2 linked regions of the Coturnix japonica genome follow. The protein of the gene in region 2 purifies or fractionates together with the protein of the main gene of each other region. This does not show direct contact. Links are inferred from orthologs where the notes say so. Each region holds a gene or a part of one and is shown on either strand. Other genes may lie near its edges. The genes, in order: MAP3K3 and TRAF7.

What was found.
Region 1: the proteins of TRAF7 (region 2) and MAP3K3 purify together in Homo sapiens (affinity purification with mass spectrometry; 5 studies listed by BioGRID and IntAct, with this or other methods). This does not show direct contact. The link is inferred for Coturnix japonica from reciprocal best matches to the Homo sapiens genes TRAF7 and MAP3K3.

What each region holds. Positions count from the first base shown.
Region 1 is NC_029542.1:2,207,295-2,211,108, reverse strand, and holds part of MAP3K3 (mitogen-activated protein kinase kinase kinase 3), read right to left. Parts: intron 3,422-3,814; coding exon 3,290-3,421; intron 2,740-3,289; coding exon 2,610-2,739; intron 1,454-2,609; exon of another isoform or gene 978-1,453; coding exon 800-977; intron 88-799; exon of another isoform or gene 1-87. UniProt on the Homo sapiens protein: Component of a protein kinase signal transduction cascade. Mediates activation of the NF-kappa-B, AP1 and DDIT3 transcriptional regulators.
Region 2 is NC_029529.1:6,371,788-6,375,601, reverse strand, and holds part of TRAF7 (E3 ubiquitin-protein ligase TRAF7), read right to left. Parts: intron 1,325-3,814; 5' UTR 1,287-1,324; coding exon 1,206-1,286; intron 978-1,205; coding exon 920-977; intron 1-919. UniProt on the Homo sapiens protein: E3 ubiquitin and SUMO-protein ligase that plays a role in different biological processes such as innate immunity, inflammation or apoptosis. Potentiates MAP3K3-mediated activation of JUN/AP1 and DDIT3 transcriptional regulators.

The sequences.
Region 1 (3,814 bases), on a different chromosome or scaffold from region 2:
TCAATCCAGAGGGAAGGGCACGTGCTCCATTCTCTCCCAAAGAATCCCAACTGGGAGACTCTGAAGAACTTAACTCTTTGCATACAGGTTAACTTTCTGCTATGCTTCCATTCACTGCTTGTATGGGAAACAGTATAGGCCTTTACTGTGGAGACACTAACATACTTTATGCTGCTGTCGTTTAGCTTGGTTTTATAATCTTACCTTCTTGAGGCCTCCAAAACTAACATTTTGACACAGGACCATTTTGCTTTTTCCTTTCGATAGAGAATATTTCTTGGCTATGCCAGTAATAGCAGGGCTATAGTTTCCACTCACGCATACTTTAGATCACCTCTGATCTGGCCTGTATCTTATGTGTTATTCCAGGTTCAGGCATCGTTCCTTCAAGGTTTTGTCAACATACTCAAATTCTGTTCCTTTCATTTCCAGTGTTATAAGCATAACTCTCATTTTGCAACAAAATGAATGGACTCTCCCCAAACAATCTTCAGTCCCTTATCAACATAAGGGACATAAGAATGGTGGAAACCTCAGGCCAGAAAGTCAGACAATTAGCTATCAGCTTGAGGGAGGAATTAATGGAAATCCTGACCTAAACACTAAATGAGCAGCTGTGTGTTGACATGACAAAGCACAGCCTGCAATGGGCCTAGCCTTAAGTTCAAACCTTCAGTTCACCTTAAACTGCTCTCATTTTTGATCCAGACAAAATCTGAGTTTGGATATATGGTTAACAGAATGCAAAATGTCCAGAAAAGTTGTAAACTGATCCATAGGCAGAAAGTTAAACCCTCACCATACGTCTGCTTTTCTTCCATAGCCCTCTCCGCTGATCACCTCTGGGCTCATCCAATATGGTGTGCCAGTGACAGAGCGGATGCCTGTTCCAGACATACAGATTGTCTGCAGCCGTTTGCTGGCCCCAAAGTCCCCAAGCTTCACATTCCCAGCAGAGTCACGGAGAATATTGGCTCCTGGACAAGAAAGAAGAAAAAGAATAGAGACAGCTGTTTTCATGCAATCCAGCTGTTGGATTTGCAGCCTACAGAGCTAATATCTAACCCAGAAATACCCAGGCTCATGCTATGGCTTTCTCCCTGTTAAGCCCCAGGTGACGTGCTAAACATCATTTCTTTATTTCAGGCTGTAGACAAGCCAGCTGTTAATGGCTAGAAATGGGAAAAAACTTCAGGGGAAAAACATAAGAAAGCGAAGGGTGAGGGGAAACGAAAGCTGAGTCAGCACTGTCATTGTTACACTGCCTGTAAACAGTTCAGACAAACTATACAGGGCCCCTAGGCCAATGGCTTAGATAGTACATAGTTGTGAAGAAAAGGATTTTATTTGGATACTGCTTTGGTGGATATACCCAGCTGACCAGAAAGCAATAGTTAACAGATGTATCTAATTAAACCACTTTGAACTCCTACAATAAACAAGTCAATCCCCACTTTACTTGGTCAGAGGTCCTGAACATGAAACACAGAGGAAATAAAAGCAAACTAAGAGGATACCTTATGTGTGGATACAAGCAAAGGCTTAGACATACACACACAACAAACCTTCCTTCAAAGCTACAACAGGATCAATAACTCTTTTTTGCCATTATTTGCTATATGCCTATGTGAACTCCTTCTGCCCTCTGGTAAAATTTGTGTTCTGAGATGGCTTTACCACTTTGCTATCCCACTGAGAGAGCTGAATTCAGAATAACAACACTTTCCATCCAGCACCCTGGAGACAAATGAACTGTTCGCTTTAGAAGATAGGTGCAGGTTATTGAATAATCCATTGGAAGGAAATCATTTGGTATAGAATACCATGTGAGCAGTATACAAGGTGTTATTCATGAATCAGCAGCTCATTTCCCTTTGCCAGCCCTAGAGGGGAGGCGATGAAGATTTATAGGCAGGAACAAGAAGATATTTTTCTTGCAGCAAGCAATGCTCCTGTCCCTCCAGAGCACAGAAAAAAAACTTGTGTGGTGCCTGCCACATCTGTTGACATTAACTCTTAAGGAGACTGCCTGGCTCCATGGGGTTTTACTGGGAAGAGGAAGACTAATCACACAAGCTCTACATGGAAGGTTACAGAGGTCTCTTACACAGAGCAGGAAGGACAAGTCACAAGAGCCTGAGGTAAGCAAGACTGACAAGAGAAGGCACAGGGCTCTTGCAGCAATTGTATGTTTACCAGCTGAGAAACAGCACTTAGGTCAGAAAGGAAATTAGAAGGGAATCCACAAGGAAACAAATGTGTTATGAGGGCAGTGAAAGTTAGGAGGCAACTTAACCTCATTTTGCTGAGGAGTCGGAGAAAGATGAGGAGTTACAGCTGAGCAGTCCTAAGAATGAATTTGAGGCTTGCATTCTTCCTTAACTATAAACACCAACTGCCACGCGCTCAGGTTCTGTACAGGAAACAACCCAACTTCCCTCACCCAGTCCACAATACCTCCTTTCCCTAAGGCCTGGTCAGGATACAAGACAAATGGATACTGAACAAAGCAATGTTCAGAAGCTCCAACCAGGATAGTGAATCCTTAACATTCGGCTTCTTTTTCTGAGTTCCTTTAGTACATGGTAAAAATCACCAGCTGATCTCACCCTTTATGTCCCTGTGCACAATCATGTTGCTGTGAAGGTATGAGACTCCCTCGAGAATCTGGCGAGTGTATTTCCGAGTTACATTTTCTGTGAGAGCACCATATGCTTTCAGCTGGTCCTTCACCGACCCCTGTGCCAAAACCAAACAGAAAAGACTGGTAAAGGAATGACATACCACAAATCCTGCAGTCTCCATTCAATTCCCAGAGCTGAGACCATGTTATATACCCAGCCAGCACATGAATGAATTCTCTTCTAAAGCCTTTTCTGTGAGGCTCACAGAACTTCTTGCTCTGTGAAGCCCCTTTTGAGAAAAGCAAGGACATTACAGCAAAAATACATTGAGGACTTTGTGTGCTTTCTGTATCCTTTAGCTGTGTTGGTACAGATGTCTGTGGATACGAGCAATAGACTACTTTAGCACACAGATTCAGGTTGAAGGTTTCCCTTTTGCAGGGTCAGTTTTATGCTAGTTTGCTGCAGTGCATGATTCTCCTAATTCAGTCAGCCCAATTTACGAGTTGACCCAAGTTCTTTCAAGTACTTTGGCAAAACAAATTTACACTCAAGGAATAGAACTGGCTTTAGTGATTAACAAAGAGAACGTATTTCAACTACAAGACACAATGGATCACCCAGTTTAAACAAAACCACTCATCTCCATTTGTGTCAGCTCTTACCCCTGGCATGTACTCCATGAAGATGGTCAAGGTCTTTTCTGCTCGATCCCGCAGGCATCCATAATACTGAACAATACGTTCGTGCTGGAGGTTCTTCAGCAGCTGAATTTCACACTCCAGGGCACTCACTTCCTACAGATGTTGGAGAAGAAAATTAGGTTCCAGCCCTAGGAAATATTTCATCCTAAAAAATCCATCCACCTCACTGGCGGGATGAGACCACTACTACAGCGATGCAGTCTATTCCATGACATTGGCTCACCTAGCTTATGGGAAAGGCAAACAATACCAATGCTTCATGTTAACCTTTACTGTACAATAAGCTGGTAGTAGTGGTGCTGAAACAGAACAGAGGCAGTATCATATTTGAATGTGCTACCAGAAAAACACTTTGTTGTCTTGAATCTGTCAGCTGTTTACTGAATGGCTTTAGGCAAGGTGACAGAAAGCGTTCTTTAAGGACAATACAGAAATAACCTCAACCCTCAGCACTAAGCAGATGGCAGTGAGCTCTAATTTCAGTTA
Region 2 (3,814 bases):
ATCCTTCAAAGGTAGCTTGCCCAAAGAACATAGATGATTTCCTAACAGGTATATAGGTTAAAAATGCTAATAATAGGAAGCCTTCCTCTCCCACAAACATCAGTCACCTATCAACAATCACTTAGATCTAGGAAGGTTTGGATACTTCTTGTAGCACAAAAGAAACATGCTATATTAAATCAGAGGTTTGCATAAGGATAGTATTACTGACTGACACAACATTTTCAATGTAAATACTCAGGAGTCCAAAATGATCGAGAATTTACACATGTAATCCAAACATTCCCTCCAGGCAGGTCATTAATTTCCTTATCTAAACCAGTGTCAAGTGCCAGTTTCTTATCTTTACTAAGGTAAGGATATTTTTATTGCAAAGTGAAACCAGATCTCTTCCCACATTCACGCTGCATGCTGGAGCTCAGACTCCTCACCTGCTGAGCTTTGAAGAACAAAGCAGAAGAATTTTAAATGAGCAGGTACATTCACACCCCCTCCTGTCTGAGCTAAAAACGAGCACAGGGGATTTACCAAAGCGTCCAGAATGACACACAGGCAAAGAGTGAAGATCAGAATTCTCAGCCCTGGTAATGGTTGCATGAGAAATCACATGGATAAATAAGATTTGAAACTAAGTTTTGTATCAGATCCTGTTGTACCATCCTAATTTCAGTAAGATCTTCCTTGTGGTTCTCTAATTTCTGCTCATTCTCATTCCACCACACCTGGTGAGCAAATGTCATGAATAAGTGACACTTGGGCTGTGTAATACTAAAAACAGTACTCTGTCACACGTCTGCAAGTAAAACACAATGACTGCCCCAACAGCTCTGTGAGCTCTGTGAAACAACAATGAGAAGAAGCCTGGTGGGATTCATGCCCAGTGCTCTGGGGAGAAGCCCCACAAATGAAATGCACTCACCCTTTGTGATAGTCGTCACAGCAGAGTACGCCGGCCCAAAAGTTGTTTCCATTCTTGTCTGAAACACAGACAGAATGAATGTCAGTGTGTATCAGTGCAGCACAGCCTGAATTCTTGCTACTTCTACCGAACTGGTGACTATATATGAATATAGTCTGTATGCATTCTTAAGTTTCATTTGTGGATACTGTGATTGTGATGTGAAAAGCATCAAATTTTCCACCACTGTGGGAAAGAAAGGATGAGAACAAGAGAAGCAGCCCCAGCTCATAGCACCTATACTTACCCCGTTAGTGTTTTCTGAAGCAGTGATGTTTGGTGTGCCACTGGAGAAACGATTGAAGCGAGCGTTCTTGTTTGAGGTCATAATCTAGACCAGCACTTGTTAGTCATGGGAAGTTTGCTCTGTAGAAGAAAAAGGACAGAAAGAGAGTTAGGTTTGTTGTACAACTTCCAGGCTCAAAGAACGCTTTCCTCTAGTATTAAGTCCAAGTATTTACCTAAACTCACATAAGTTGGGATTTTCAGAAGTAAGTGGCAAGGCCAAAGTCAGGCCCCTTCAAACCACTCCTGGGAGAAGCATCCAGCATGTTCCAAAAATCCAGCATATTTTAAATGATTCCTTAATCTCCCACATACTGGAACACTCATCACCATTAGCAGCTTTTACAAATGTGTAACCATTCCAATTGCAGATGAGACTCCTCAGCAGCCAAAGAAAGGCAGCATCCCACTGTCCCACCATCACTCGGTTCCAAATGAGACCCATAGAGACACATGTGCCAGCTGTGTCTGACAGTCCCAGCTCAGAGCACACCACAACCCAAACAGGCAGAAAGGTCTGAGCCAAAGCCTTGGACAAAGCCTGAACCTACAGAGTGCCAAAGGAGCTGCGCATGCACAGAGGGCAAAAGGATGTAAAGCTGCACCAGCAGAGCCCTTATCCCTATAAGAAAGAAACCTTACTTCAGTTAACACTTCTGTGATTCTGGATCTCATTCAATTTCTGCTCAGAAACAGCCCACAGATCATCACCCAGAGAGAGAAATCCCCTCCCTCAAATGGCAGTAGAGGGGCTCACTGCTCTTCTTCAGTTGTTTACCGGGTTCAAGTTTGCAAAGTCAAAGTATTGCACAATAATAACCTGTGGAAGCACATGGAGATTGCTTTCTTCTGCTGAAACCTGATGCTGGCTTGAGGGTACTAAAAGAACTTTACAGAGGGGGTACTGAAGCTGCTCCCCCAGGAAGGAGCTGCAGCTCCACACTGCCATCCCAAGGAGATGCTGCTGCCCGGGACAGAAGTTCCCATTGTGGCCTTGGCACAGCAGGGAGCTCTCCTCCTTGGCTTCCCCTTCATCCTTGTGGCTGGAAGTCACTGCTGGCACTCACAGCCTGTCCCAGCCCACCCAGTGCTCCAGGAATAAGCTGCTCAAGAAAAATCCTGATTAAGGATCCCTTTTTATCCAAGGTACAGTTAAATCTTGGTGCTCTCCCTGCCAGCTACAGAGTCCAAGGGCTAAGCAGGCAGACCAGACAGACAACAGTAGTGAGAAGTGACTGGCTAGAACCAGTTGACTAAAACACAACCCAAATCTGTTTTTCACTTGTGCTTGGCTCTCACCCTACAAGCACCATGGGCTGCAGCCAGGCAGGGCAGTGGTCCTGGTCCCATTCCTTGCAGGACCATCTGCTTGCAGTTGGGTTGGGGCTGCTCCTCCCCATGCAGCTGCTCCTGCTGCAGGCTCATGGGGAGGTAAGATAACTTGGCTCCACCTAGCAAAGGATCTTCTCTCATCCAAGAGTGACACATCCTCAATCTCCAAGCACTTCATAACAGTGTGTGATCACCTCTTTTGTAGTATTGGGAAACTGAGGCTCAAGGTGTGACACGACCACACAGAGCAGCTGGGACCCAGGACTCATGCAGAGCTCCTTCAGTCACAGCCCCAAGAGCCCCAGCTTTGCATGTGTCCTACGCTCACATTTTAAATGCTGTGAACATGATGCTGAGACATCCCCAGCCCCTGACCAACTGCTCTGCTGCCTGGCACAGCACACTGTGTCCTGCATGGACAGCATCCATAGGGATCACTGCCCCTGGAGCTGAACTCTTGGGAAAAGCTACAGGCTAAAAAAAAGAAGAAAAACAAACCAAAACCCAACCCAAAGTAACAAACAAAAACCCCCAAACCAAGCCCAGGACTATCTTGAAAACACAGATCTGAATAATGTTTTCCAAACGTTACGAAGCTCCGTCCTGGCTGCCTGTAAATGCCAGATCCCTTAGGAAATGCTAAGCAGAGTTGCTGATGTCCAAGAACAGCAGGAACGAAGCAGGACCGTGCTGCTGCATCGTGCAGATTGAGGAGCTGCCTCCCAGCTGCAGTGCGGCTCCAACAGTTCTAAACTGCCTGCAACAGGGACAACCTGAGGCACCTCTCCAGTAAAATGCACATTCCCCTGCTCCAAAGCCCACTCAGAGGAATGCAAGATCCAATAGATGGTGGATAAATCCAAAGCAAGGAAGGAAGCACGGGTTGGAACACAGGGATTTTCCACTCCTTGTTCACACCCCAAACCCTGCAGCATGGCTGAGCAAACTACCTGTGAGCAGCAGGAGGTAACCTGCCCTGCATCTCGTCTGAATAGAAACCAGGAGAATGCAAGCAATGGAAAAAACATCAAGTGGAATATGTGCCAACGTTCATAACACCAACTGCCACAAAAACAGCCAATCTCAGCCCAAATCCCTGCAACCATCAAATACAGGAGCGATTACAACAGAGCAGATGTCTGCAGAGCAGCCTGCCGATGAACTCTGTCACAAGGCAGTGAAAAAGGCCTTTGCCAGTTGATATCAAAGAACTTAAAAGGAAGTGGAGAAGAGATGGTG